Lonchura striata: one gene and its partners. The protein of the gene in region 1 interacts with the protein of each later gene in a pairwise test. Links are inferred from orthologs where the notes say so. Each region holds a gene or a part of one and is shown on either strand. Other genes may lie near its edges. The genes, in order: SIAH1, INHA, KHDRBS3 and UPP2.

Region 1 (7,044 bases):
AAGAGAAAGTAAGATACAAATGAAAGCAAAATCCCCCCAATGTAATACAAACTGCGTATGTGCTATGTGTAGATCGATACAGACACTCCCGTGACATGGAAACTTAACAAGTGAAGGACTTCTGCTCATTGTTCGGAAGAGGCATTTAGCTACTGGAAGCTGCAAGACAGGGGAGTAAAAACATGCTAAAAATTTAATACTGCATTTATGAAATGCTTCACACCCAGATCACTTGTGTGTACCAACTCTGTGTATGGAACAATTCTAAGCTGCCGTGTAAGAGAAACAAGGCTTTAATGAAAAAAACTATCTTCTGGATGTGACCTTCTCAGTACTCATACTTACAGTGTAATTTTTTAAGAAGTTGAAAAACACAGCTCAGACAATTACTACTCTGCTTTTTTGCAGGATAGGACAGTGACTCTTCATTTTCACTACTCTACTATTGAGGCCCATGGCTTGTAAAGCACAGCCACTGCTTCAGCTTCCTTAACAAAACCATTTGTGACGATACCAGAAAAAAAAACCCACAGCAATTACTTTATTTAATTTCCCAACTAAGACTAAAAATTCGAACTTCACTTGTTAAATTTGAGTATTCATTTTACCATGTAAATACTCAGACATTTTCAGTCCCTCTTGATGAAGTTCTATATTCAGTGGAGCTCCCACTGAAGTTCTGTCCTCTCTAATGTCCCCCGACAAAGGTGACAGCTGTCTGACCTAACAGCTTACTCGAACATTCCACAGATGTGGAACAAGTACTGACCACATTTTGTAACACATTGTGTTTTCCTGCACTCCTAACTCTCCTCCTTCTTGTACAAAAGACATTACTAGCGCTATCTGAAAAAATAAACCATACCTTTGTAGGTAAAGGGCAGTTAAATAAAATGCTATCCAAAATTGGCTTCTGTTATAGAGTACAATTCTCAGCCACACTAAGTGCCTCTCTGCGAGTACAACCAGCTCTGGATCTGTCACGTACGTATAAAGCTCTCAAAATAAACCTCATCTTTAATCTCCTTGCTATTTGACATGGGAATATTAGGCAATAGGCAAGCTTCCCATATTTAGCATCATTTCACCACAAACTTACTCATACTTGGACCAGACAGCTCAGAGCAACATACTGTGCATGCTTTTGCAAGACATGCACTGTTCAAAAACACCAAGCAGAAGAACTAAGAGATTCCTACTTGCAAAATGACTTAAGTCCTTGACATTTAGAAAGTAACGAGAGACAGACAAGTCCAAATTACTCTACAGAAGTACCTCTCCCCAGAGCTAGAAAAGTATGAGTGTCTAAGATATGATTCTCAGACACTGATTTTATGAGTCTCATGTGTCCCATTGACAGCATCTTCCTAACCCACCAAATTCTCTTCCTCCATCTCAGTCTTGGTGGTTTAGAAGTACCTTGAGAAAAACACCCATGCAGCAGTTTTCAGTGCTGGGCCATAACTGATCCTGTAGAGCTATGACAAGAATGCTTGTGTCTTTTGGCTGTATCTTCCCACTGTGAGGCATTCCAACTTAGATGAGAAGTTCAGGGTGTCTGTGACAAATCAAGCATGTGTCCTGGAGAAGTGATGCTGCACCAGGGAGGGGACTCTGCCAGCTGTACTGCTCTATGTCCCAGCAGCTGCAGGTCTGTGCTCCAGAACAAACCACTGGGCACAAGAGAACCAATGCTGATCACACCTGTTCGCTTGGGAGGAGCTTAGAAACAACATATTCACATGTAAAATTCTGGAAGTGTTTCCCTTCAAATACTGCAAACACACACATTTCAGAAAAGTCTGTGCTGTGCTTCCTCTTGCCTGACCCTGTAGATCCTGATCCAGGGATCCTCCATAACCTGCAGATAAGGCAGGTGAAAACCACTGTGTCAGACCAGTTCCCTGGGCAGCCTGACAAGCTGGGTGAGCTCTGCCGTCTTTAATTACACCTCGCTGAGCCCATGCAACAGTTAAATGAAGCAACCTACAAACTTTGCAAAAGAGCTTGTGCACGGATGCACTTCCCACTTGAGCTTTCTAAGGTATGGAAGAGAACAGAACTATGTTACCACTGCTCCTGTGTGAGCAGCCTTCACACACCTTCCACAACACTCACAGGAGCAGGGAATGGAAAGGAACAGGGAATGGAAGGAGCAGCAACTGGGAACAAGGAGCAATCTCTGAACCAGCCCACTGAGATCAGCATGCAGGAAAGACACTGCATAAGGCTACAAACTGTAATTCACCAAGCCTAAACCTGCCCAAAGCCTACATTTTCATCACTCTTGTTAACACAAAGATGAATAATACATCTTTTATGGCTATCTCAAAAGTTACAAGTTAATCACAAGCAAAAGTTTTAACAGTGTAATACATTTAACCCACCAAACCATGAAAATCATACAATTACAAACCAAGGAAAAACAGCTACAGAACTGGAGATAAAGTTTAAAGACATTTTTAGTTACAAACCCCTTACTACAGGTAAAAACACTTATATGCAATATTTGCTATTTCATTATCTTTATTTGCACACATTAGGAACAAGTTTCTAAGCAACAGTGACAAACTAAGGAACAGTAAGGTGTCATTTTCAAGAGTATTAGCTCCTTTAACTCCAATTACCAAAAACACTGTGCATATTAAAAAAAAAAAGAAAAATTACCCAACAGTAAGAGTGAAAAGGGGAGAACACATCTTAAGATTTCCTAGCTCTAAATCAAGCAAAGCAGCTCTTGGTAACATCTAGAAGGCACCTGTTGCTAAAAGGACTCTCGACACTGTTCTGGGAAAGGCGACATGCACAGGTTACCGACACCTCCCGCGGAACACAATTTAACAGCTCCTGCAAGCCCGGCTTCAAATACTGCGCATAAGGCAATTTAAAGGGCGCTACCTTTCCCCTTGCAGGTTTTACTCCCCGGCAAGCACGCAGACCAGACGCCCTTCCAGGAGTACGGCCCGCTGGAGGCAGATCTGCCCGTCATGGGGCGCGGAGGAGCTCATGGCGTGTCCGCGCAGCACGGGCGGGCTGGGGCCGCGGGCCGGGCGGCGACCGCGCCGAACGCCCCCGCGACGGCCGCGGGGCCCCGCGCCGCGCCCGGATCCGCCGCCCCGGCCGGTGCCGCCGCCCCCGTGCGCGGCCGCGCTCCGGCCCCGCGCCCCAAAATGGTTCCCCGAGCTTCCCCCGGCGCGGCCGGCGCGGGACGGCCCCGCCCCGCCCCGCCCCGCCCGCCACCGCCTCCGGGGGAGGACGCGCCTCGGCCCCGCCCGCGGCCCCGGGAGCCGGCCCCGGGAGCCGCCCGCCCCACGCGGCCCCGCCCCGCACGGCCCCGGGAGCCGGACCGCCCCACACGGCCCCGCCCCACACGGCCCCGGGAGCCGGCCCCGCCCCACACGGCCCCGCCCCACACGGCCCCGGGAGCCGGCCCCGCCCCACACGGCCCCGCCCCACACGGCCCCGGGAGCCGGCCCCGCCCCACACGGCCCCGCCCCACACGGCCCCGGGAGCCGGCCCGCCCCACACGGCCCCGCCCCACACGGCCCCGGGAGCGGCCCCGCCCGCCCCACGGCTCCCCAGGGCCGCCCGCCCGCGGCCCGGCCGTGCCTCACACGTGCGCACGGAGAAAGCCCTCTGCTTCCCCCGAAATAACTCCCCGGCAAAAGCTACAGCTTCCGTTCAAAACTCTTCTAACACATGAAAATCACTTCCTCCTATTTCAAGGATATTCCTCAGATGAGCACTTTTCACTGTGGATCTATAAATTCCTATTCAACAGGAATTTTCTCCATCTGTATAAGTATTGCTCAATGAAGCAAAAGCATAATCTCAAGGAGAAGAGATAACCAACAGAACTAAAACAATGTGGCATATTTGATTATCTACTTGGAGTATTAAAAAAAATTAGAACAGGTAAAAGGATAAAGTTAGAAGCCAAGTCAACACACTTGCGTGAAGCACATGCTTTGCTCAGAAAAGCTTAGACATTATGGAACGCTGATGTAATGATGGTAAGATCATGGAAGTATAAGTTGCAGTGGAGGCAACAGAACAAAACACACTGAGATAAACTGTTGTCACATAAAAAGCAAGGCTATGAAATCTGAGTAAAGATAATTATCTTTAAAGTGCTTTCCTCCTATTTCAAATCCAAGTCCTTTTCAAGAAGACTTGTATCAGCACTGTAATACCTGCAAATAATGCCCAACTGCTATAAAAACAATCTACCCACTCAATACAAGGCTTCCTTCAGTCTCGCCCGAAAACCTGCAATCTACAGCATCCCACCAGGTAAGAGTCAAGGAAGTTTACAAGCAGAACAGAGAAGCTGAATAAAAACTGCATAAAAACAGCTTTTGAGAAGCTAATAGCGCGTTGTGAGGTGCGCGAAACGTGTCCCAGGCTGCCCCCCGTGTGGTCCCCAGAGCCACCCTCCGGCCCCTGGCCACGGTACAGCTGCTGCTGCCCGTGTGCTTTGCTGGCTGCGCAGTGCCCCGGGGACAAAGCCTTTGGGACCCGGACACAGAACCGAAATCCTGTACGAAAAGCAAGGCACAACCAAACCACTGGTTAAAAAGCTCTGCTGGGGCGCAGGCACACAGAAAGTAGTTTGAAGACATTGAAAAAGATTGTGTGCCTCACGTGCCTGGGCATTATTAATGGCAAATAGACTGATACTCTTCCAGCTTCTCACCTTACCAAGGTGTTAGCTCCAGACCCATTCTAAAAATCACATTTGTGCTTCACTGGAATACAAGGTACCTCTGACAAATTCAACTTAGCATCATCCACTTCTCTCATATCAAAAAGCACATCTTCTTTCATATCCTCACCCATATCAAATAGATTAGACTTGAATTTAGCATTTTAGCTAGCTTTTGAAAGGGTAACTGAATATTAGTTTGAGGAAAAAAAATACACAAAAGCTCTCTATAGTCATCTTAATGGTTGGAAGGGAAAAAGTCCCATATAAGAGTAATAAACACAAAAAATTTATCACAATTGTCTGTATGTGATGCAACAACATATATTTTTCTATAACATTTAAAAACCGAGTTCAGGAACTTCCATTTAAAATGCACTCTTAATTCATTATAGCCACCAACAAAGTAATAGAAAATCTTTCATCTTTTTAAACAGTGTAATCATATTTGAATAAGACTTTTTCACACACAGTACTATTAAGAGAGAACAGGATGAAGTTGTGAAAAACACTGACAAGTTACTTTTTTCAAGATGTGACACAAACCAAAGAATGTTAAGACCCAAAATCTAAATGAAAGGCTGAAAATGCTCATTAAACATAATACCTATCAGAGAAAAGCTTGCCAATATTTTTTAAGAAACTAGTATTTTTATTTAATTTCAAAGATATGTTAGGGTGCAAGGTTTTGCCTTTTGCAGTCTATCAGCTCTTGGGAGATGTTAGATCCCAAGGGCCTGGCACGGTTAGGATCAAATGCAGGCCTGGACAGACATGTGCACCTCTGCTCAGACACAGCCTCTGGATCTGCTGGCCTACTTCACAATTTTTAGAACACAGTTCATGACATAAATTATTAATCAACTATATAATACAATTTAATCTCTATCCACTCTGGTTTTGACTAATGAATTAGGATTTTTTTCAATCCTTCCAGACACTCTTTTCTTTGGTGCCCTTAACTATGCTATTTGTTATTTCAAGACACCTCAGGGTTCTCTTTTCCTCCATAACAAGCAAAAGCTAGATCAATCCAATGTAACAGAATATTATAAAACAAGACCAAAATAAATATACAAAACTGAGTCAAGACTCTTGATGATTTCCTTTGCCAAAATGTCATCAGTCCAATTCATCTCTTTTTCATACACAATTAGACCATTTCCTGCTACCTTGTAGTGACCCACTCTGCCTGAAACTGCAGGCAGCTTTTTTCTTGCACCTCAAGACATTCCCTACCAACCCCATTTTCCAACCACCACGAAGGGAAATCCCAACAGATTTATATAACCATGGAATTGTCTTTGTGGCCAGCACTGCAGGGAGCCTCCAGCCCCTGACACCCCACATTTCTGATGTTCTCTCGTGTTCTCTCACGGCCCCCAATGGAGCCATGGCAGTCCCTGTCCAGACCTTCTCCAAGTTCACCACACCCCACATGGCAGATGCAGACACAAACACAGCCATGGAAACACCAACAGCATTGTTCCACCCACCAAATCAGAGTGACCTATTTCTAACTCAGCACAAAACCCAGACTTTGGTCAGGGCTGTTTGATTTCTCCCTCCTCGCCATCACTCACTATTTCTTCTGTGGAGATATGCTGGAATATTCAGCATCAGCCCAGGAGAGGTTTTTCCCTAGCTGCTAAAGATTTTCTTTCCAACAACTTTATAAGGTTAAGATTAGGAAGGAACAGTATCCTGTAGAAGACATACAATAAGCACATCAAAATCAAATCACACTAGTAACCAACTACTATTGACTGAAGTGTTCAATTTTAAATGCAACAAAGAAATTTATCAGTTCCAACAAGTGAATAACCTGTTCTCCAGTCCAACAGAGTTTCAACATCCACCTTTGCACAGAATACTGCATCCCATGCTGCTATGGTACTCCAGCCTTGGGAAGGAAGACAAGCTGAGGAACAAAGCTCTGCAAAAAAACTGATAAATCCCCCAGTTTCATTCAGAAGGAAAACTAAAAGTGTCTGATCAAGAGCCAAAACATGAGTTTGGACCACTCACTCTGTACTCTATAGGTGGAGAATATGCCAGCTTTCCCAACTTACATATAGAATTAAATTTAAAAGTAGATTTCCTTGTAAATTCAGACCCTCCTACAAATCATAAAGCAAAACAGGATGTTTATCTCTTCTGTTTTTTGAGCTTGGAAGGAAAGGAAGGAGGACAGAAAGCAAAAGCTACAGGAAATATCAAAGAAATTCCAGAAAATTTAAGCAATATTAAAAACAACTAATCAAATGCCACCGTGAACAAAGAAAATGTAGTAATATATTAAATAAATTGATATAAGCAACAAAATAAAAATTATTTAT
Region 2 (6,927 bases), on another chromosome or scaffold:
ACAAGCACATATCCCAGAGCAGGGAGGACCAGGGCACAGCCTGGGGAGACACAGGGATGCCTCCAGTATCTCAGCAGGAGTTTTGGGGGATGCAGGGGCATGGAAGCCAGCATACTGCAGCAGGCATCTCAGTGGAGGGGAGCAGTGGGGTGTAGGCAGGGGCTGCACCAGTTCCTGGGTAACCCCAGCCATGGGCTGTCCCCAGCTGGCTGGATGGCTCGGGGGGGAATTGGGCAGCTGCCAGTGCAGACTGTTGGAGCCGTGCCCTGCAGGGCTGGCTGCCAGAATCACTCAGCACTTCCAGGGAAATTTGTCACCAAGGCACTGTCCCTCTTCCCTGTTTGTGGCTGGACACCTGCAGTCATCCGAGAAGCCACACCTCTGTTTGCAAGGAAAGCGAGACACGGAGCAGGACACAGCTCCTGAAGAAGCCCAGCATCCCCTGTTTCCAGCTCACAGCTCTGTCCTGAGGAGCCTGGGGTGACCCTGGCTGCACAGGGCAGGAAGGAGCCCCATGATGCTGGGCTCTCACACAGACACACCCCTGCCAGACAAACTTCCCTGAGCCCCCCAGAGCCTGGCCACCTCTGACACTTCTTGGACGTGTTCCTACCTTTCACCTGCAGCTGCACTGCACTGAGAGTCTGGCCAGCAGTGTTGGAAGCAGTGCACATGTATAGCCCCTGGTCCTGAGGTTTGCAGTACAGCACCTTGAGGATGAAGTAGCCCTCCCGGTCCTCGTAGATGAGATGCCTGCGGCCAGGGGCGAGAGGTTCACCATCTTTCTGCCAGATAATCTCTGGCTTGGGCTTGCCAGTAACATAACAGCGAAACTTGGCATGCTTCCCTGCGCTCACAGCAAATGCCTTGGCCCCTGGCACCCTGGCCGGCACGACGCCATTGGGCACCCAGGTCTCCGGTGCCATGCGCCGTCCCGCTGCGTGCCGCCGCCACCGCTGCCGCTCCGCCAGTACCTCGGGGCCGTGGGCAGGGGAGCCATTGGGGAGCCCATCCAACAGTGCCTGGGGTTCAACCAGGAGCACGGCGGCAGCCAGGGCCTCCTGGGAGCCGCTGCGTGCCCGGCAGACATACACACCCCCATCCTGGGGCCGGGCACCGAACAGCTTCAGGAAGTGCCAGTCCTCTGGTTTCTGCCCCACTGCAAAGTGGCTGCTCTCAAAGAGTTCGGAGAGCTTGTGCCCATCCTTCTCCCACTCCAGCACAGGGCAGGGCTGCCCAGACACCCTGCAGGTGAACATCACATCCTCCCCCCGGCACACCCGCATGGACGAGGGGGCAATGAGGAAGGCAGGTGCGACACTGCCTGAGCATCCCTCCCCCTCTCGCGGCTCTGCTGGCTCTACCCTGAGCACGGTGGCAGCGTAAGTCTCGCCAACACTATTCTTGGCCCTACAGACGTAGAGTCCGCTGTCCTCGGGGGTGGCACAGGACACCAGCAGGCTGTACAGGTCCCCTTTGGACTCCATATGGAAACGGCCCGAGGGCTCGATGGTATTCTTGTCCTTTTCCCAGAGGATGCTTGGCTGGGGATCACCCATGATCTGGCAGCTCAGGACTGCATTGGTGCCACTTTGGACCGTGAAGGCACGTGGATAGGCCAGGAACCTGGGGGCTCCCCCGAACCCCTCCATCACCAACTCCCCAGGCTCACGGCAGACAGCTGGCTGGAGCAGCAGCAGGGATCATCAGCCTGGGGGGATGTACAGACAGACTACAGTGGAGGCTCAGGCTCCATCGAAGAGATGGACCAGTGTGGAGCCCCCAGCTAGGAGGGACCCACAAAATCCCCATCATGGACCTCCTGAGCATCATTGTCATCCAGAGCAGCGCAGTCCCACTGGATTTGTCCCAGTGTCACCCAAACCATCCATTTCCCAGCCCAAGGCAATAGGAGACGTGACAAATTGTGGCTCTTTGCACCCCGGGGGCCTGAGACACTTGCACCCTTTCCCAGGGTTGCAGAGGGGACTCCAGTTCCAGCGGTGGGGGACCCCGGCCTAGACAGGGAGCATAGGCAGCTGCTTGCTGGGTGCTGGGGCTGGGGGACAGCGAAGGCAAAAGGGCCCCCGCCCGCCCCTTCCCCACCCGCCGGGCATTCACATTCCTGCAGTATCGGGTGGTGGCAGAGCCGCATTCCTGCAGCATCTGGGCCGGCTCAGCGGGCAGGTGCTGACACGGGGCTGTCACGGGCGCGAGGCCCCGGCTGGACCCGGGCTGGGACTTCCTCCCGGACTTGGGTGGGCAGGGGACCCCCTGTGCCGGGCGGCCACCCCACAGGGCAAAGTGCCCTGGGGCGAAGTGGGGCTCTGGGGAAGGGGTCCCCGTTCTAGAGAGTAGTCCCACAGGCGGGATCCAGCCCTTGTGCACTCAAAACCATAGCTGGAAATCATCAACCCCAGGGGAAAGCTGAAAGCCAGGGAGGTGGGTCCTGCTATGGAAGGGCACTGTCTCCATCCCCAGCTTTGTGGGTAACCGTGCCCACCACCAGGGCAGGAGCAGGGCAGGGTGCTGTGTGCCTCTCCCCGCTGAGTGCACCCACCCTCTGCCCACACCATGGCTGGGACTGGGGCAGGGTCGTCTCTGACTTGCTCAGGCAGGGGGAGGGGAAACAAAAATACTTCTTGAATGAGCCAGAGGGTAGGAGAGAGCTGGTCCCCAAGGAGCGACAGGGATTGTGGCCAGTTTCTCCTCCCACAGCCCTACCCCTGGGACAGTGAATCTATTCAGATTCATCTCTCCATCCACACGCCCCTGACCCCTGGGCCACCCCACAGCAGCTCCTTTGGACACAAACGGACAGCTCTGATGGCTCGGCTGCACCATTGCACCCTTCAACCACTCCCTTCCCCAACCACCCTCCCTGCCCCAGGCAGTCCCCCAGCCCAGACCCCTGCCCCACACATGTACCTCGTTCTGCCACCTCTCCCCTGTGTCTCTCAGTGTCGGCACCCAGCTCCTGCTTCTTCCCCCAGCTCCCCTTCTGGGTGTCAGTGCGCAGGGACCAAATGTTACAAATGCCTGCAGCTGCTGTCCCCAAAAATACCCTCTGATGACACGCGGGGTTGATAAGAGTGAGCCTGCTCCGTTCAGCGCCTCACCGAGGCTGGGCTGGCCTACCTATGTATAGCAGCCCAGCAGGAGCCACCCCAGAGAGCTGCAGGGGTGCTGCAGGCCCGGCTGTGCCTCTGCGCCGGCTCAGCCAGCAGCGAGAGACAACGTGCCCTGTGGAGAGCGTGGCATGGGGTGCAGGGTGCATGGTGTGCTGTACACTGAGCTGGACACCAGACTGCAGTGAGATAGGACGTGTCACACGGGACATGCTGCATGGGGGGATGTGTTGCATTGGATGCTGCATGAAATGCCAGGCTATATTGGATGGGATGGGCAGGACACTGAGCTGCCAGAGGCACAGAGGGGATGCACAGGCTGCCCACCATCCACAGCACATGCAGCGTTAGTGGATAGGCACTGTCCCCTCAGGCAGTGGTGAGAGGAAGGGGACTGGGTCTCCTTACAGCCAATGTCTCTCCTGCAACTCCCACCCTGTGAGCCAAGCCATGGCTAGACAGCCCAAACAGCACCCTAGGATCCTTCTCCTGGACCTGCTGCAGGGTCTCCAGCTGGCCCACCCCTCTCATTTGTTCTTCTCCCCTTGAAGGTCTCATCTGTTTTTCTCCCCTCTCCAGCCTTCTGCAGCCTCAGGTAGAGCAAGGACCTTTTGCCGTCCCTCTTGCTTCATGTCCCCAGGATCTTGCTAATCATGTCATGGAGATGTCATGGACTGTCATGGAGATGCCACAACCACCCTGTCCCTCAGCTTGCCCTTTCCAAGGCCCCATCCTCACATTTTTGGCTGCCCTGGCGACTGCCACCTGCAAAGCGCCTCCCCCATGCCAGAGCCTCACAGGCCTCTGATCCCCACCAGGTCCTTGCCCAGATTTCCCTGCCGTGCACAACTGCTGTCACTTCCCACTAGCTCCCCAGAAGCCCTAGACCTTCCACTCCTCCGCCATGGGAGGCACCTCGCATCAGCAGCTGCAAAGCTCACCCAGCACCCCCTCCATCCCTGCCAGCTTCGGCTGCCGGCACCACCCTGCCCGCAGCCCGGCCTCCCCAGCCCCACGCACGCACCGCTCCCGGCAGCAGCCCCCACACACACCCCCTGGCCGGGGGCCGGCCCCCCAGACCACACTGTCCTTGCAGTCCTTGCATTCCAGACGTCTCAGCGCTTTCACAGCTCAGAGATAATATTCACGGCGAGCAGACGTTTGCGTCAGTGTCAGCTAGATCTCAATGCCACCCTGTCCCGGGGGGAGCGCTGCGGGCAGACGGGCTGGGCAGGCAGGCAGAAGCCCGCGGCAGAGCCCCCCAGGCCAGCACCCCACCGTGTGCCCCACGGCCATGCTGCTGCTGCTGCACCTGCTGCCTGCCATGCTGCCCACCGCCGCCCTGGCCAGCTGCACCGGGACGGGTGCCGACCGGCAGCTCATCCTGGCCAAGGTGCGGGCTCGGGTGCTGGAACATCTGAGTCCCCCCCTTCTCCAGGAGGAGCCACAGATGGAAGCAAGGAGGGTACACCGGAGAGACGTTCTTGAAAACACTGAAGTGGAGCCGGAGGAGCTGGAGGACACCTCCCAGGTGATCTTATTCCCTGCCACAGGTGAGAACATCCTGATGAAAGGGTGAAGCAGGGTGGGGGTTGGAGTAATGCAGACGCTGAAGGATGGCGAGGCTGATGTGGTGGGAGAAGGGGAAGAAGGTATGCCAGGCTGGGACATGGGCATGAGTGAGATTTGGTGGAGAGCCAGATGGAAAGGTATGGCAGGCATGGACAAGCAGAACAGTTCAGGACAGACAGCAGAGGGACAGGCAGCACAAGAGGGTGCTGAGAGGCTAGGAAACAGCTGGCCAGGCAGGATGTGGAGACATGGAGAGGGATGAGGAGCAGGGTGGAATAGGGTGGGATGCTAGGGAATGGGGCAGGATACTGGAAGGTGGGTTGGGATGCTAAGGGACAGGGCAGGATGCTGAAGCATGCGGCAGGATGACCAGCAATAACAGCAGGAGATGGGGCAGAATGCTGGGGGATGGGATAGGATGCACATGCTGGGGAAAAGGGGGCAGGATGACCAACTATGGGACAGGACTGGGAGATGGGCCAGGATGCAGGGAGATGGTCAGGGTGCAGAGGTGGGGGAAAAGGACAGGATTACCAGCTATGAGGTGAATGCTGGGGGACAGGGCATGATGTGGTCTCTGGGGGAAAGGGGCAAGACAACCAGCTATGGGGGAGGATACTGGGGGACAGGGGTGACAGTAATGGACCAGCCTAGAGCATAGCAGAGATCAGTTGTGGGGCACAGCACAGAAGCTGCTGCACAGCACCGGCTCCTCTGCACCCAGCCACAGCCTATGCCAGCAGCCAGGAGCCCTGCCAGCATTCCAGGGACCTCTGCAACATCCCACTTGTGATTTGGCATTGGGGATTCTCCCCAGGTCTGGGTGCAGACCCTGATCATCTTTTCCCCCCCACAGACGTTCCCTGTGAGCCCACACAGCCAGACAAGCTGCTGGAGGAAGAAGGGATTTTCACCTACCTCTTCCAGCCCTCGGCACACACCCTGAGCCGTGTGGTGACTTCTGCCCAGCTCTGGTTTTACACGGGCCCCTCGGCTGCCCCCAACCACTCCTTCCCTGAGGTGCTGACCCTGTCCCCTCAGGGCCGGGTGCCGGTGACAGCCATGGCGGAGCGGACACCCGAGCACTGGACAGTGTTTCACTTGGCCCCAGTGCTGCTGCCCCAGCTCTGGCAGCCGCTCTTTGTGCTCCTGGTGCGCTGCCCTGGCTGCCCCTGCCTGCCTGAGGGGGACAAGATGCCCTTCCTGGTGGCCACCACCCGGGCCAAGGGCAGCGAGAGGGCTCGTCGCTCTGCCATGCCCTGGTCCCCGGCCGCCCTGAGCCTGCTGCAGCGTCCATCTGAGGAGCTGGCTGCCCACACCAACTGTCGCCGGGCTTCCCTCAACATCTCCTTCGAGGAGCTGGGCTGGGACAAGTGGATCGTGCATCCCAGCAGCTTTGTTTTCCACTACTGCCACGGGAGCTGCGCTGCAGGCCACGGGCTGAGCCACCGGCTGGGCGTGCAGCTCTGCTGCGCTGCCCTGCCCGGCACCATGCGCTCCCTGCGCGTCCGCACCACCTCCGACGGCGGGTACTCCTTCAAGTATGAGACGGTGCCCAACATCCTGGCCCAGGACTGCACCTGTGTCTAGGGCGTCCTGCAGCCCAGCCCGGACCATGATCCCACGCAGGAGGAGTTGCTTTCCCAGTGGAACCCTGGCCGCTGGGATGGGGGAGTTTGGCTGTACCACCCTCCCTCGCACAAGCCAGACTTTTGGGCTGGCCCTGGTACCATCACAGAGCAAATCAGGGCATGGCGGGGCATGGATAGGCACAACCTACGGCAAAGGCATCACTGTCCTGTCAAAGCCAGGCTGCTGCCTGCAACCAGATTAGCCCTCATCTCTCTTCACCTGCTTCCCTGCTGCAGTTCTGCACCCCCACAAAGATTGGTGTCTTCCTCCTGCTGCAGAGTTCAACAGCTTCCCCTGTGCTCCAGGCAGGGCCAGGCTGTTGCAGCAGGATCAGGATGTGCCTGGGTGAGCCCATGCCAGGACCTCACACTGGTGGCAGGGCTGGCAGCACACGTGGCACCACAAGTGAGCCCTCTCCCAGCAGCATGGCTTGTTGGAAAGCTAAATGGGATGAGTGAAATAAACTTGTTCCCTTTTCTAAAGCAGCCTGGAAATGTCTGCTTCTATCTAGATGGAGAAATGAGGGGATGGGCAAATACTGTTAGAGGCATCCAGCTCCGATTTGGGGTACCAGAGAAGGGACTGGAGTATGCTG
Region 3 (7,447 bases), on another chromosome or scaffold:
ACAAAGGTAGTGAAGTCACTGCAATGTATTGACTCAATTACTGCACTAGGAATCAGAGAGAGTGTTCTGATACAGTGTGTTAGCCTTTAAGAACTAGAAAGAAAGTAAAGTAGAATGATAGAATTTATCTGCTGTAGATGATGTAATGGTTTTGCACTATAGGTCATATACAGTCTGTGTACTGTGTTCTACCTTAACTTGGCTGATTACATTGATTAGGTCCAATAAAGCCTAAAGTTTGAACTATGAGGCAAAAGGTATAAAAGAGAAAGAGGTGAATTTTTACAGAAAATCTTTTGAAAACAATTTGCCATGGATGTTTTGATATGACAGTACACTCTTATTTATTTTATCATATTTTAAAACACATGCAAGTTAAAAAAAAAAAAAAAAAAAAAAGAAAAAAACCCACAGGAATATTGGAGAAGTGTGATACTTTCATCACGCCTAATAGAAATTGGCAAGTAACACACTGCAATATTAAGGAAGCCAGAACCCACTTAGCAACATGCTAGTTAGAATTGTGGTGAGTCACATCTATCACTAAATGTGGTATTTGTGACAAATCATTTCTCCAAACAGATCCTGCTTCTATAGGTCTTCAATGAGTTGAAGTCTCAAATAAATAATGATTCTGTAACAGTCTGTTGTGGTCTGAGATTTAAATGAGGAACCCAGGAGTTAATCAGAATCAAGGACTATATTAGAGGCATGTAAATTCTACCACAGAATTGGAAATAATCCCAGCAGGGTGACAGCCTGTGGGTGCAGTGCCTTCAGTATCTGAGTGAGGGTGCTGCAACAGGCTCCACTTGATTAGGTGTTTTTGCCTAAATTACTGCCCCCTCTGTTTTTTCTCCTGTGACAAGTGTTCCATCTATTCAATGATCACACCAAGCTGCCACTGACCGTGGTGTGCTCATATTCCACAAGCCAAGCAGCACAGTGAGAGAGGTGATTCTGCTCCTTGCTCTGCTCTCATGAGACCCCACCTGCAGTGCTGCATCCAGCTCTGGGGTCCGCAGGACAGCAAGGATAGGCATCTATGGCAGCAGGTCCAGAGGAGGCCACAAAGATGGTCAGAGGTCTGGAACACCTTCCCTGTAAAGATGGGCTGAGTTGGGACAGTTCAGCCTGCAGAGGAGATGGCTCTGGGGAAACCTTATAGCATTTTGGTACTTAAAGGGGGCTTATAGGAAAGATTGGAACAAACATTTTAGCAGGAGCTGCTGTGGTAGGACAAGGGACAATGATTTTTTTAAGTAGAAGGTAGACTCAGACCATATATAAAGAAATTCTTTACAATGAGTGTGGTGAAACACTAGACCAGGCTGCCCAGAGAGGTCACAGATGCCCCATCCCTGAAAACATTCAAGGTCAGTTTTGATGGGGCTCCGAGCAACCTGATCTAGTTGAAGATGTCCCTACGCATTGCAGGAGCAGAGTTGGACTAGATGACCTTTCCAACCCAAAGCATTCAAGGACTCCATGGAAAAGACAAATATTTAGTTGTACTTGCTTTCCAAACCAAAGCATTCAATGATTCCATGGAAGACAAATATTTAGTTGTACTTGCAATATTTGGAACAAAGACATAATAGTGAAATTACTGCTTGTAATCACTGCTTGTTATATTGATCCAACAAATAAAGAAAATTTAAGTGGATTAATTTGTACACAATACATATTTTAGAGAGAGAACACAGCTCAGTTTCTGCCTCTTTACACATGGTCCCCTCACATCCTGTTAGTACAAGAGGTGAATCTCATTCCTGAGAGTGAAGTTACCAACACATCCTAATGCTTCTAGCATATATGAGTATTAATTTTGGCACTTACAATTTTAACTTATAGATAGAGAGACACACTGTCAGGTAACTGGTGCTTAAAAAGGAGCAATGGATTAGTCTGACATGGTTACTGACTGATGTGCACCTATCAAACTAACTTTCTGAGATTACCACATGCATTAAACAGCAAAGTAGATGTGTACTGTTAGAGAGAAAATACATTTAAGTCATGAGTTTTAAAAGTTTGGACTCCTGGCTTTTCAATATTCATGAATCCTACAGCTAATACTTAGCAGGCAGCTCCTTGAGCAAGGCTGCTTTTCAAGCTCTGCATAGATTTCAGCAATAAGAAAGCAATCAATCCTTAAGATGATGGTGTTTCCTGCATTTCCTGGATAGTAAAAGTGATGCTTAGCAGGCTTTTCCCAGCTAACCACATCCTGGGCTGCTTTCTAGGGCCCAAGGCTCGTAATTTCCCATCCTTTCTGCCCTTGTCTTATTTTATTGCGCCCTAGAAAATTTCACTGAAAAAAACCAATGTCCTGCATTTGTTATGTACAGGTTTGAGTTTGAACAATAGGCTACAACATGGATAATTTTATAATTCCTATATTATTACAGACCTGGAGAAAACCAAGTCTTCAAACTTCCAGTAAGTCTTTCTTTGTAGAAAGCCAGAGGGAATTGGTATAATATGGAAAGAAATACTGTGGTTTCTTGAAACATCAAATGTTTATTTAATCAGTTACCAGGGAGAAGGCGACTCCTTCCAAGAAAGGTGCATTGTGTTTTACACAAATTGTAATAACATAACTACCTTTCTGTCTGAGGTCCTGCATGCTTTAGTATGACTTTAAGTACATTTAGGCTTAAGTGGCAAAAAAAGAGATTTTTTTGCTCCAGGTCACTCAATAAAGATTACACTCCTACATATTGTTTTGTGTCAAGAGTTGTATATGCCTTCCTGTTTCACAACAGATGGTTGCATTTCAGTACTTTTATATAGAAGACGTATATGGAAGGTTGAAAAAAACATTCATTTTAATTCAAATTCTTCCAGCTGCTTGAATGCTTTAGTTTTATTTATTGAGCTTGATGTCATGCAAAAGAATTTTTAAATAGAACTTTGCAAATATGCTTCTGTTCATTTTGGATCAAGATTTATTTGAAATGGTTTTACAGAGAGTATAAATCAACTATGTTTCATGTTGCAACATACCAGACATTGTTTCATGGGGTATTGAAATCTGTGAAATCCAACAAGGAATAAGATACCTTAAAATATAGTCTTTTGGTTTTCAGGGTGAAAGAGCACTTGCAGTTCTGAGAAGGGAGCCTTAACCTCTGCTTCTGAGCTTTGAGTGAGCATTTCTCATGCTGGTTTATCTTTTCAGAGCTTTCTTCCTCCCTGTATTGCAAGACTATGAGTAAGATATATTGCAGATTTTTCTTTTATTTTTTTATTAAATACAGAAGTAAATGTATGGTTATTCAATTCACAGATATGAGTACTTTTAGTGGTCTTTTAAGTTTAGATCATCAAAGTTCCTTATTGGCTTATCCAGTAAACATTGATTTAAAATGTTACTTTATGGGTTTGGCTTCTTTCCTCTGCTTTGCCCTTGTGCTCTGTGACAGAGAAGAGCTGGTCTGGCTTCCTCCGGGCTTTTGTCACCAAGATTCATTGACGAGACACCTAAGGACTAATAAGGAGGCGATGTAAAGCCTCAAAGCTAAAGAACAGAGCGAATCATGACCTTCTATAACAAATGCATCCTCTGAAAAAAACAGGAAAATGGGCTTGAGCAAGGTCTTTTAAACTTTGCTTCTCTTTCCTCTTTTAGAACAGGGTGAATCTCAAACCCATTTACAGCCACAGATCTGGGAAACTCATCAGAATTAGGGTTTTTTGACTGGTATTTATAAAGTGGTTTGTATAGAGACAGTCTATGTTTTTGCTAGAGGCAAAAGCATAGAATGCTGGATAGAGGAGACCGCTGTTTGTGAAAGGGAAAAATAAAATCACGTTTGCGCTACTTTCAACACAAGGTCTGCCTTCCCCCGTAAGATCTGACGGGGACGGAAAGGACGCCGCCCTGGATCCCCGACCCTTCTCACAGATCCTACGGCCCCGGAGAGGGCCCCGAAGGCGACTCTTGCGTCGGAAGGGTCGCTGTGGGATCTCAGGGGCTCTGAGTCCCGCTGCTCCAGGTACGGGTACAAAAGCCACTCCGCCCAGCTCCCGCCCGGCTCCCGGCGCGGAGCCGCTCTGAGCGCGTCCCTCAGCGCCGGCCTCTCACCGACCGCGGGGAGGCGGGGCCAGCAGCAGCGACCAATGAGCAGCAGCGCCTCGGCCCTGACTGACAGGCCCTGCCATCCAATAGGAGCCTTCACTTGAGCGAGGCGGTGACACTTGGGGGGCTCTGCTATCCCCGCCCATTGGCAGGCGCTGGGGCGGGGCACCGCCCCTGGGCGGGGCTAAGGCGGCCGGGGGCGTGGTCTGGGGCGGTATATAAACCTGGTGCGGCGCGCTTTCCGCTCTCAGTGGGCTCGGCGTCGCCGGCGGTGTTGTTTGTCTTGTGGGTGTGTGCGCAGCCCCAGCCGCCGCCTAACAGTCTCTTTTATTGCGCGCGCGGCCCCCGTCTTGCCTGGGTCAGCGGCTCCCGGGGCGCGTCTCTTCCCGTTTTATCTCCTTGTGCGCTTCCGCAGTGATTTGTCCGCGCCCCTTGCCCGCTGAGGGGGGGCGCCCCCAGCCCGCGCCGCTTTTCTCCCCGCTCCTGGCCGGGGGCTTGCGGCGCTTCCTTCTGGATGCGTCCCCGCAGCCCCGGGCGGGAGGCGGCCAGGGGGAAGCGCTGCCTCCGAGGATTTACCGCTGCCTGGGACTCGGACCCGCTCCTTCCCCGCGGGCGCACCCGGCGCCCCGGCTCCGCTGCCGCTCCGGGCCGCTGCCATGGACGAGAAGTACCTGCCCGAGCTGATGGCGGAGAAGGACTCGCTGGACCCGTCCTTCACCCACGCCTTGCGGCTGGTCAACCAAGGTGAGGGGCGCCGGAGCGGGGCGCCTTTCTCGCGGCGGGGACGGGCCGGGGTGAGCGGCGGTGCTCAGCCGGGGCTCGCCCTTCCTTATTGCGGCGCTCGGAGCGGTTTGTTGTGCCCGGGCTCCCGGGGACGTTCTCGGTGCGGGGTTCACCCGTGCCTTGCACCGCTTGGGGGGGTTTGTTGCGTTCAGGCTGCCGCTGTTTGCCGGCTCCCGGCGCCTTCCCCTTCCCCTGCCGGGCAGCCGCGCACGCCGGGTGCCTGCCCGCGCTGCCCCTCTTCCATCCGCGCTTCCTCTGCCGTCGCTCGCTGCTCGAGTTAGAGATTATTCCGAGCTGAATGGCCGTGTCCGCTGTGCTCTGCTCGGGCTGCATGTCAATTAAAACCCCGGACGGTTTTCCTATTTTACCCTGCTTGTGAACAATGAGCAGCCGATTGTTTACATATGTGTGAGCTTTCTTAAGAACGAGCCCACTACCGATGGCCTTTCCTAGAAACTTTGGGCTCTGTGGCTAAGATATTACGGAACCAACAATCCATGTTAGTAAACCTTTATAAAAATACAAGGCATATTTTGTTTTGCAATTATATAACTCCAGATAATAAATTACTCCCACCCCTTCTGCATCTGTCAAGTCAGATGTGCTTTAAAGTGCTTCCTTTTTGTTTCAGTGATGCAGTACTGACTAGAAGAGTCATTCTGTGTGAATTAAACTATGATTTAATGTACATTTAGAGATAGTATATAATTGGCAGGTGACTTTCAAGTACAGCTCTGGAGAGACAAATGCTTGATCTAGTGCTTAGGATGCACAAGTGAAATAAGCTATGAAGTGATCCTCTAACACATTGGAAGCCGAAATGATTTTTGGCTTCAATTGCAATGATTACAAAGCCGTGCTTGGTGTACTTTACATCCTATAACAGGAGCAAGTTTAAGTTGATGTGGGTTCCTCTAACGTGTTGTAGATTATGATGTGTTATAAGTGCAAATGCCTGTCTCAGATTCATAAGGAGAATTACTGTTCTCTGAAATACTCTGGAGTTAGGGGTAGCTGTTACAGTTTTAACTGTGGAATGCATGTGCTAAGTGAATTGAAGGTCCATGTCCATGGGTGGTTGGTATTTTGCATTTTTTTCTAAACTCCCTGTTGATTGTGGGAAAAGGAGAATTATGTTAAAAAAAACAGTTATTTGCTGTAAATTAAAAAAAACTTGTAAAAATTATGCTTGATGGCTACAAATTATTAAAGTTCCTCTCCAGCTAGTGAAGAATCTTTTTGCATGTGTAAATTATTCCAGGGAGTTACAGAACCATGTGATTTACTGTTTTGTAAACAGTGTTAAAGAAAGTAAATCTGTCCTTTTGACTGAGTTTATGATATTTTTTTAGTTTCTCATTGAAATGATAAAGTGGAGGACTGAAACTTTTGCCTTTCATCATGGTATCTGCATGCATACATTCAGCTCCAGGAAAAAAAAAAACCTTATATTGTTAGTGTAAAAATGTAGATGTATGAGCATCCAACCTTGTAATCTAGTAGGTGTCTTGATTTTTCTTTTGTTTAATTTGAAAGTGAAGTCTTGGATTATATCTGAAGTGTTTCACATGTTAGAGGTGAGGAAAAGAAAGATTGAGGGTGACTAATCAACTGGTTAACTCCAGTTTAAAATGGAAATTTGTATAATATCTATGTAAAATAGTTTAATTGTAGAATTGCCAAAGAGCCTGATCAAATGAAGTGCCTGTATAATACAGGTGGAAAATATGATATCAGGAGGGGATGTTTTACAAACCCATCCTGCCATGGCATTGACTTTATCAGGGACTGTTTTTTTCTCAATGATAATAATTCTATGCACTTAAATGAATGGCAATTATTAGTGGAAATGTGTATGTAATGGTTGTGGCTCGGCTTTTGTGTGCCAGGTCCATTGAATATTTTCTATGTTAGTTCATGTGGAGGCAAATGAAAGAGCTTATCTAATTTTTTTATAGATGGATTTGTTTATCTTTTAAGTTTAGAATGAAGCAGGGTTCCAAGCTTGGTTTCTTTTGGGTATCAGAGAATGTCTTAGCAAAGGTTTTAAGTGCTTTAAATAACCAGCTTAATTATGTAATAGCATTTTGGTGTCTTAGTGGCATTAAATTTGCTATCTGTATTTATTTAAACTGAAATACTGTACATCAGCTGGCGTTCTTCAGAAACTCAGGAGTAATTTGTAAGAGTTGTATGGATGAAGTAGAATACTTTTGAGATGGTGAAGTAATTCAGATATGTTTACTGCTTAGACAGAGGAGCCAAATTGCTAACAAATTTCCAGTCGTGTTAAAGTTTGGTTTCTAGGGAAAATCCTGGATCTAGACTTCTAAAATGTGGTAATTATAGTTTTCAAATGGAAGTGGATGAATTTGCATATTATGCTTGTAATTACACATTTTAATTTGTATACACACAAATTACATAATTTTAAATATAAAAAGTGGAGCTTGACCTGCTTCAAGTTCCTGGCTAACATTTCAGTTAAAAAAGAATAATGTGGAAATAACTAAGATGCTGTAAGAATATTTTCATGGGCAGTATTATTAATCTGTCTTTCTGAATTAAGATATGACAGAA
Region 4 (7,805 bases), on another chromosome or scaffold:
CTTTTTGCATGTTGTTATTCTGGAACATCAGCCTGGCTTATTTGCTGATGCCTAAAAAATTAATTCTCGTTGCAAATATTCAGAGCTGGAATCTGTGTTCCTGGCCCTGTATGTTTGAGCTCAGTTGTGTTTCTAAGCAACTTGCAGAAATGTGATATTGGTAGCAGCTCTGCATGATGCTTCCCAGGGCGGCCATGTGCTCTACCCCGTGTCTCCTTCTGCACTGGCCAAAGCTGGTGCACGGCCACAAGCTCAGTGATGGTTTGCCTCTGGCCATGTCACTGCTGCTGCCAGGCCGGGGAACAGCAAATCTTGTGGCAGTTCTTCCCCTTGGATCCTCTCAGACTGATTTCCTCAGGCTTGATTCCCTTGGTCAGGATTGGTTTGGTTTTTTCAGAGGGACGAAACACGAGCTCTGTTGTGTGAGTGATTCCATCTGCTGTGAATCACACTTCAGACTAGTCTTGTGCCTGAAGAAATGGAGTCAGGACCAAGATTTTGGGTGTGAATGCTCCCCAGCACAGCCTGTATTTGCTTTTTCCTGTGTTCAGTGCCAAAAATCCTGCTCTAAAAGAATAATTAATAATAAGGCCAGCCTTTTCTTTTAGAGCTTGTATCAAGGTAATACTCCCAGCAGCATTTCATAGTTCATGTGTGGTGAGAAGTGGTTTTGCCTCCCAAACCAAGCTGAGCAGAACATGTGCACGTCTGTTATTAATGCAGCCATTTCCAAACAGAGAGAGCAGGTGCTGGGGGATGCTATTCAAACAGGAGCAGCTTTGCCATGGCTAAGGTTGCACCGGTGGTAGTGGCTGAACAGTGAAAAGAGGGAAAAGCTCTGCTGGTGCGTGCTGGGGGAGGTGAGGGCACGTGAAGGAGAGGTCGTGCCAGCCCGTGCCTGTGCCGGAGCAGACGGTCCCTGCGCCGTCCGTCTGTGGGACCCTGCCAGGAGCAGCACCAGACGGCCCCGAGAGCGCGTCCCCCAGAAATGTCCCCAGCCGGCGCGGGACTCACGCTGATGGAGAGCACGGGCCCTGCCCGGTACATGGCGTAGCGGTCCGACCCCGCGCAGATGTCAGCCACGTCCTCCCCGGCACCCGCCAGCCCCAGCTCCCGCCGCATGAACTGGGCAAACGCCCTCATCCTGTTGGGGCTGCCGCCAACACAGACGAACTGCAATAAAATATCAGCGTGTTGGTACTTAGCTAGAACAAGAAACGCGAGTCAGCCTGGATGTGGCGGTGGTGGCTCTGCCAGGCACATCTTCCCAGAGAAAGGAGCAGGATGCCTCTTCCTCACCATCAGTCAAGGGACATTGGAACTCCTGAGGCTCACAAAACCAGGAGTTAACACAAAACCCACCCTGTCACTCTGGCAGGGTGGCGACTGCCCTGAGTTTGGGCAGCCATACAGCTGCACATAACTTGGGTATCAATCCATCTAAAATAATTCTGCAAATTTGAGCTGGTAGTATTGCCACTGATAGCAAAGTAAACCCAGATGTTGGAGGAGATCATTGGTTAATTTATTCTATGAACAATGCTGACTGCAATTAGTGAGTACTTCTGATGGCACAGAGGCCATAAAGTCAGGGAGTAAAAAGGACAAATTTTACATATTAAAGGAAAATATGCTTGCTGAAGGTAGGAGGAGAATAAGTGTGCACTGCCAGGGCAGTGCTGATCCTGCTGCCAGGGTGCAGGGCAGCAGGAGACCATGCTGTGCTGTGCAAGGCTGCTCCAGCCCTGGGCACTGAGGCTCTTCCCCTGCACAACTAGGGAAAGACTCTGGTTTGGAATGAAAGAGGATGCCATCATGACAAATCAGTTTTGACAGCAGGTCTCAGCCAAAAATTATATGATATTCTCCTTCCCTTATCTCCAGTAGATGATGACCAAGATGCTTTGGACAAATGCCTCCTCTGTCTATCCTCCAACATGGGGCCAATATTAAATCAGGTTTTACAGAGCTACAGGTTTTTAAAAGGATAATTTTCTGTTGTGATTTCTGCCCAAAACAAACAAGGACAGAGAACCTCCTTGCCCAGGCTGCTTTGGCTGTGGAGTCCCTTAGCTGAGCAGCCAGACCCCACCCCATGGGAGCTTTGGCAGCAGCAGGGCCCAGCATGGGCCGGTAGCACCGTGGGATGCACAGCTGGAGAGTCTGTGCAGGGGGGAGCTGCTGCCTCACTTTTGGACCTGCTCTTTACCTTTATGTCCCCAAACATTGCTGGCAGGTTGTGTGTCTTCGTTCCCAAGTCCAGGTGGTACAGGACGTCCTCCTCCATCAAGTCCAGGTGTGGGTTTCTAACAAGGACAAGCCCAGTCCTGCAGGGAGACGATGAGGATATGGGTTGGGGCACCAGGCAGTACCTGCAGGGAGGTGGACAGGCAGAAGTGGGGCACAGGGCAGCCTGGAAGCTCCACAAGGGTACACACAGCCTTGGCATTGGACAAGGGATGGAACAGGGACAACGGACAAGCCAGCTGTGTGTGGTGTTTGGACCAGCTGTCTTTCTGCTCCAGGTAACCTCTTTGACACATCTGTTATTATATCTATGTATTTGGCAAAAAATATGTCTCAGTATTTATCAATTTTGTCAATGGCTACCTTAGCTCTTTCCTTTATAAGGTTTTGCCAGCAATGTCCAGGGGTGATATACTGTGCTGTTTTCTATGTGACAATTTATTAGGCTCTTGGCAAGTCAGGATTTCACACTTGTCCCAAATAACTGCCTGGCATGGCGAGTGCAGACACTGCAGGCAGTCAGAGGCCAGCTTGCTGCCCCTTTCCACCTGCTCTAAGGGAAGCAAATAACTAACAATGCAGGTTAGTTTTATAAATGGGGCTTAAAGAAACCCAGAGAACATTTTTTCTTCTCTTATTAAAACAAATTCAGATGTTCCCCTGTTACTCACCTCGAGTAACCTGTTGTTTCGGTCATAGTGGCTCCGCCAGAGTCAGCTGAAAGCGATACCCTGCCAAAAAGGTAAGGAAAACTGCCTGTATTCTCAGCTGTCCAGGCTTAGAGCTCAGAAGAGGTTTCAAGGGGCTCTGCAGGGGGTTAAATACCTCTTGTGCTTTGTGCAGCTCCCAAGGTCAGCAGTGGGCAGTCCCACTACTGTGTGCCAAGATTCCTTAGTGGCTGGCATGGTTCCTCCCAGATTGCCTTTTTGGGCAGGTGCGTCACCAGTAACCTTGACTGGCAGCCTTAGGGCCAGGGCCAGTGGCCTGCTGGCCCTCTGGCTGGTGACATTGTGCCCTCTGGCTGGTGGGGAGGGCTCTGGGCACGTGGCTGCACATGTGGGGAGATGGTTTGTCTGAGCTGGATGTTGCTATGCTACCCCCAGGCTGTGTTTCCTCAGCGCTAGGGACTGAAGGACAGCCTGGCCATGGCTGCTGGCATGGACAGTTCTTCTGGCTGAGCCGTTCTCTGACCCCAGTAGGTGCAAATCCAAAACATCTCTGCATTTGTCTGGGGTGCACAAAACCGGAATTTGGGCTGTAGCCAACCTCCAGCCCTGCTCAGAACAGCTCCTGGACCACCAGCCTGGCCTGGGGAGGCTGATTTCACTCTCAGCAATGCCCAGACAGTGCTGTTGGCTCTCATGGTCCACCCAGCCCCATCTCAGCCCAGGAGCCCATCAGAACAGTGTGCAGTGTGTCAGGCACAGCTTTGCACAGCTCCCAGTCCAGGGCAGGCAGAGTGCTTGTGGGGCTGCAGGACAAGTGTGTGATGCTCCTGCAGGAGCAGGAGGAGATTGGAGATACTGGTCCTGCTTCCTGTCCCAACAACAGGAGGCACTGCCCTGGAAGATATTTCAGGCAGCTGCTGGAGGGGCAGAATCTGGCATTTGCTGTTGACCTCTGGGAATTGTCAATGGAAGCTCTGATAATTAGGGAAGTGATAGGTAATTAATTACTGGGTGAAAGCACATTGCGTGGAGCTCACTGGCACCCTGCATTCAAGCAGTGACGCAGTCCTGCTTTCCTAATGGGAAGGGACAGAAATTATCGTAACTGAGGAAGCCTTTCCCTGAGCAAATGCCCTTTTTGCTACCCATCCAAACACTCTAAATTGCAAAACCCTGTATAAAAATAAGCAAACACTGCAAGCCAGTGGCCTGAGAACATGTAAATTTGGTACCTTGCCCAATATAGGGTCAGGATAGCTCTGAGAAGGGGAAGGAGCAGAGCTCTCAGGGATATTTCTGGCTTTCTGGAGTCATACCAAAGGCAGGCTGGAAGGATTTCTCTGCTCTGATGAAGTTCTCCCTCCCTGGATGCTGTTCACATATGCCTGCCAAAAATGACTTATTACTGACGCTCTACAGCACTCCCAAAAAGTAAGGATCTGGAGACTTTTCTCCCTTTCAGAATGCACCAGATTTCTGTGAGGGGCACAGAAGAAGTTTCCTTGGGGCTGCACACACCTTCTGCCTGCCGAAGTCGCTTGGTGTGATTGCTGTGGTTTCAGGCGCACAGTGGATTGTGCAGTGGGCTCCATGCAGAGCTTCCAGTTGTGTCCAGTGAGAGTTACCTGATCTGGAGAAGAGAGCAAATGGTTTGCTGCTGCTTGCCAGAGGTGGCTGGAAATGCTCTGGGGAGGTGGGATCGGGCTGAGGCTTCCTGTGGATTCTCCTCCTTCTCCAGTCTTGTCTGGTGGAGGAACATGAGGCCCTGGCCCCGCACCCACCTCCAGCACAGCTGGGCAGGGCTTTCATCGGGGACCGAAGGTTCAGCAGAATGGTGGATGGATGAGTGGACAGACGGACAGACAGCTGGACACCTGAGTGTCTCTGTGGCAGGGCATGAGTGTTCCCACCTGCTGCCTGGGGTGGTAAAGGCAGTGCTTCCATGTGTCCCCTTTCTCTGCCTGCCTTCCATGGCAGAGTATTTCTGGACATACCTGGAAGGGTCCACACCTGCATGGTTCAAACCATCCCACAATAAAACAATTTTCCTAAGCACATGGATAACTTTTAAAATATTTTCTTATGAAAAATAGTGTTCCAGCACAACCTGCTGGGACATCCCTGCCTGGTGGTCAGCAAAGCCCCTGCCCTGCCCTGCTACAGCCTCTGCCCTGGTGTGCTCAGTCCCAGGCAGGGACCTCCCCTGTGCTGGCAAAAGTGGCAAGATTTTGGAGGGTGTCCCTGCTGAGTGAGCAGGGACAGAGTCCCCTGGAGCCACAGCTCTATCTGGAATGTCAGGCTGAGAATGGTGGGCAAGCAATGTTTCTGCAGTGTTTGTCCCTGCTGTGCCCAAGGTAAAAGGAACCAGTGTGTTCTGTTTAAGTAAACATGATTGCACCAAGGGAAATGGTTGGACTGTGCTTTTGGCTTCCCAGAAGTGACGTTGAAGAGAAGGGACAGCAGCCACCACCACGGCCATTCAGGTTTCAGGGCCTGTCTGGCTCAGGTCAGCTCCCTGCCTGGCCAGTATAAGCAGTCCCTCACCTTTGGTTCCTTTGTCCATGATTGTTTTTCCCATGCTTGGTCTTCTTTGGGATGGCTTTCAGTAAATCCCAAACTGAAGTGTGGCTGTTCTTTTCCTACCTCTCCTGCTTTTCATGGCAGAGGCTGCAGAATGGAATAGAATAGAATAGAATAGAATAGAATAGAATAGAATAGAATAGAATAGAATAGAATAGAATAATGGACTAGGATAGGATGAAATGCTAAAATAAAATGCTTTCAGTTGAAAGGGAGCTGCAGTGCTGATCTAGCCCAGCTACCTGCCTGTTTCTCTTCCTCAAAGGAGCGTGGGGATGGTGAGAAGCAAAGAGCACTGCCCCAAATGAGTGTTTATTTGTGCCTGATTCAGAGCTAAATCCAGCCTCTCCAAGTGCCAGGCAGTGGAGCTGTTACCATATGTGCTAGAGGATGACAAATAAAGCACGATGAAATATACGGCAGAATAACATATGGCAGTGTAGACAGGCTCTCGGCAAGGGAAGAGATGGGGAGAGCCAGCGCTCCCCGCGCCCATCCGACACCTCTTGTCATGTTAAATGCTATTTTAGAGCAGACAGCGCTGGCATCCTGTGCGCGGCAGGGAGCTCGCACCCGCCGCGCCCTGCCGGGGCTCTGCAGCCTTGCTCCCAGCGAGCCCCAACAGCTCCTTCTCCACTCGGCTGGTCTCTGCCTTCCCTCCCACCGTGCTGCTGCTGCTGCAGCTCTCCGGAGCTGCCGATGATGAGATATTCCAGCAACCTGGCGCCCAGCCCCGTCTGTGGCCGCCGGGTCGGGCTGGGCAGGCGGGGCAGGTGGTGCCCGTCGCAGGAGTGAGTTCCTCCGCCACCGCCCCGGCAGGGCATGTGAGCCTGTGCTCGGCCCCATCGCTCTGCTTCGATAGCAGAGAATGAGGAATATCACAGTCCGAGGCATGGCTGGTGCATTCCTCTAGCGATGATTGCTGGCAGTCGGCATAAGGGAGCAGCAGAAGCACCGGGAAGTGTTTTACCTGACAGGAGGAAAGCCATGTGCCAGCAGCACAACGATTTCCTGCTCTCCGTACCCGGCTTGTTCTGCGGAGCCAGGAAAGCAAAACGTGGATTTTTATCAGCTGTTTGCTCTGGCTCCGTGTTTTGCCTTGTTTATTATTGGTATAAAGCTGCTCTTGGCATTGGGACCAGACAGTAAAACACTCCCCAAAGGAACCAGGCTGCACAAACCCTCGGGGCACTAGAGTAACTGCAGCTTGTCAGGACACGTTTCCCCTGAGGGGAAGCACTACAGCAAAGCCATTTATTTCAGGCAGAAATCAGCTGCCTGACCTGTGTTGCTATTCAGGATTTATTCAGGAGCTGCTGATCTTCCAGTCCCGTGTCGCTCCACAGGAGGGGCTGAGAGTGCTGCTGCTCCGCTGCAGGAATGCTCCTTAGAGCGGACGGGCACTCTCCCGCCATTCCCTCTGCAGCCTTGCCCATGGCAGGTGGGATCCACCCTGGGAACAGGCAGGGATTTGCCCGCCGTGCCCCAGGACAGCTGGGGGGCTGTGCCCATGCTCTGGGCGCCCTGCCCTGCTGGGCTGCCCAGGAGGTGAGGACACTAGGGTGGCAGCTACGCACATCTGCCCGTCCAGGTTCAAGGAGCACCAGGCTGGCCCCACACAGGCCCCTGGTAAAGGGCTCTTCTTAGGTTTAAACCCAGTTTCTGGCTGAGGTTGGTGCTGGCTTGCTGCAAGAGCAGGGGTCCTGGCCTGGCTCTGACTGGCTCTACATGGATTGCTGCTGCCCACCTGGCCCCACATGGATACACTTCAGCAGGAAGTGTTGCTTCTGGCATCTTCTCCCAAGACTGTGCTCCTTTTGTGCCTCCAGTCAGGATGAGAAGGAAGAGGAGCAGTGGGGCAGTTTGGCAACAGAGCCCTCTCATCCGCTCTGGGGTAGGTTCCCCCTTGCCTTCCTCCATGCTGCTTTTTGTTCCCTTCCCACTGCAGGGGTGAGTGAGCTGCTCCAACTCTTCCCACCCCACAGGGATGGGTGAGCTATTGCCTGCTGGGAGTACCCACAGAGGTTTGTGTAAATGTCCAGTTTGCTGTGACAGAGCAGACTCCAAATCGGCAGTGGAACCTGCAAGGGAGCCCCTTTCTGCTTGCTCCCTTCCTGCCCAGTGCTTTTCTGATCTCCAGGCTTTGAATCCAGACGGTGCCTGGGGTTTTTTCTCCCTTCTTCTTTTATTTTTCTTACACAGGTTTTTTTTTCCTTTTGTCTTTTACTCTTTGGGCTTGTGGGTGCCTGTCGCAACTGCTGGTGCCTGTGGGTGCAGGCAGGAGGGAGGTCTGGGAGGAGATTTTGGCCA

Evidence for each region.
Region 2: the proteins of SIAH1 (region 1) and INHA interact in binary tests that used the Homo sapiens proteins (3 or more experiments, as listed by UniProt). The two-hybrid records come from large-scale screens. The link is inferred for Lonchura striata from reciprocal best matches to the Homo sapiens genes SIAH1 and INHA.
Region 3: the proteins of SIAH1 (region 1) and KHDRBS3 interact in a two-hybrid assay, tested with the Homo sapiens proteins (3 studies listed by BioGRID and IntAct). The link is inferred for Lonchura striata from reciprocal best matches to the Homo sapiens genes SIAH1 and KHDRBS3.
Region 4: the proteins of SIAH1 (region 1) and UPP2 interact in binary tests that used the Homo sapiens proteins (3 or more experiments, as listed by UniProt). The two-hybrid records come from large-scale screens. The link is inferred for Lonchura striata from reciprocal best matches to the Homo sapiens genes SIAH1 and UPP2.

What each region holds. Positions count from the first base shown.
Region 1 is NC_134615.1:10,448,244-10,455,287, forward strand, and holds the start of SIAH1 (E3 ubiquitin-protein ligase SIAH1), read right to left. Parts: upstream 3,043-7,044; 5' UTR 2,990-3,042; coding exon 2,899-2,989; intron 1-2,898. UniProt on the Homo sapiens protein: E3 ubiquitin-protein ligase that mediates ubiquitination and subsequent proteasomal degradation of target proteins.
Region 2 is NC_134610.1:16,236,127-16,243,053, forward strand, and holds INHA (inhibin alpha chain), read left to right. Parts: upstream 1-4,177; 5' UTR 4,178-4,314; coding exon 4,315-4,681; intron 4,682-5,556; coding exon 5,557-6,290; downstream 6,291-6,927. Other genes in the region: OBSL1 (obscurin-like protein 1), read right to left, coding at 614-1,652. UniProt on the Homo sapiens protein: Inhibins and activins inhibit and activate, respectively, the secretion of follitropin by the pituitary gland.
Region 3 is NC_134603.1:7,546,181-7,553,627, reverse strand, and holds the start of KHDRBS3 (KH domain-containing, RNA-binding, signal transduction-associated protein 3), read left to right. Parts: upstream 1-4,332; 5' UTR 4,333-4,740; coding exon 4,741-4,828; intron 4,829-7,447. UniProt on the Homo sapiens protein: RNA-binding protein that plays a role in the regulation of alternative splicing and influences mRNA splice site selection and exon inclusion. Binds preferentially to the 5'-[AU]UAAA-3' motif in vitro.
Region 4 is NC_134610.1:678,972-686,776, forward strand, and holds the start of UPP2 (uridine phosphorylase 2), read right to left. Parts: upstream 3,049-7,805; 5' UTR 2,945-3,048; coding exon 2,919-2,944; intron 2,373-2,918; coding exon 2,210-2,372; intron 1,174-2,209; coding exon 1,015-1,173; intron 1-1,014. UniProt on the Homo sapiens protein: Catalyzes the reversible phosphorylytic cleavage of uridine to uracil and ribose-1-phosphate which can then be utilized as carbon and energy sources or in the rescue of pyrimidine bases for nucleotide synthesis.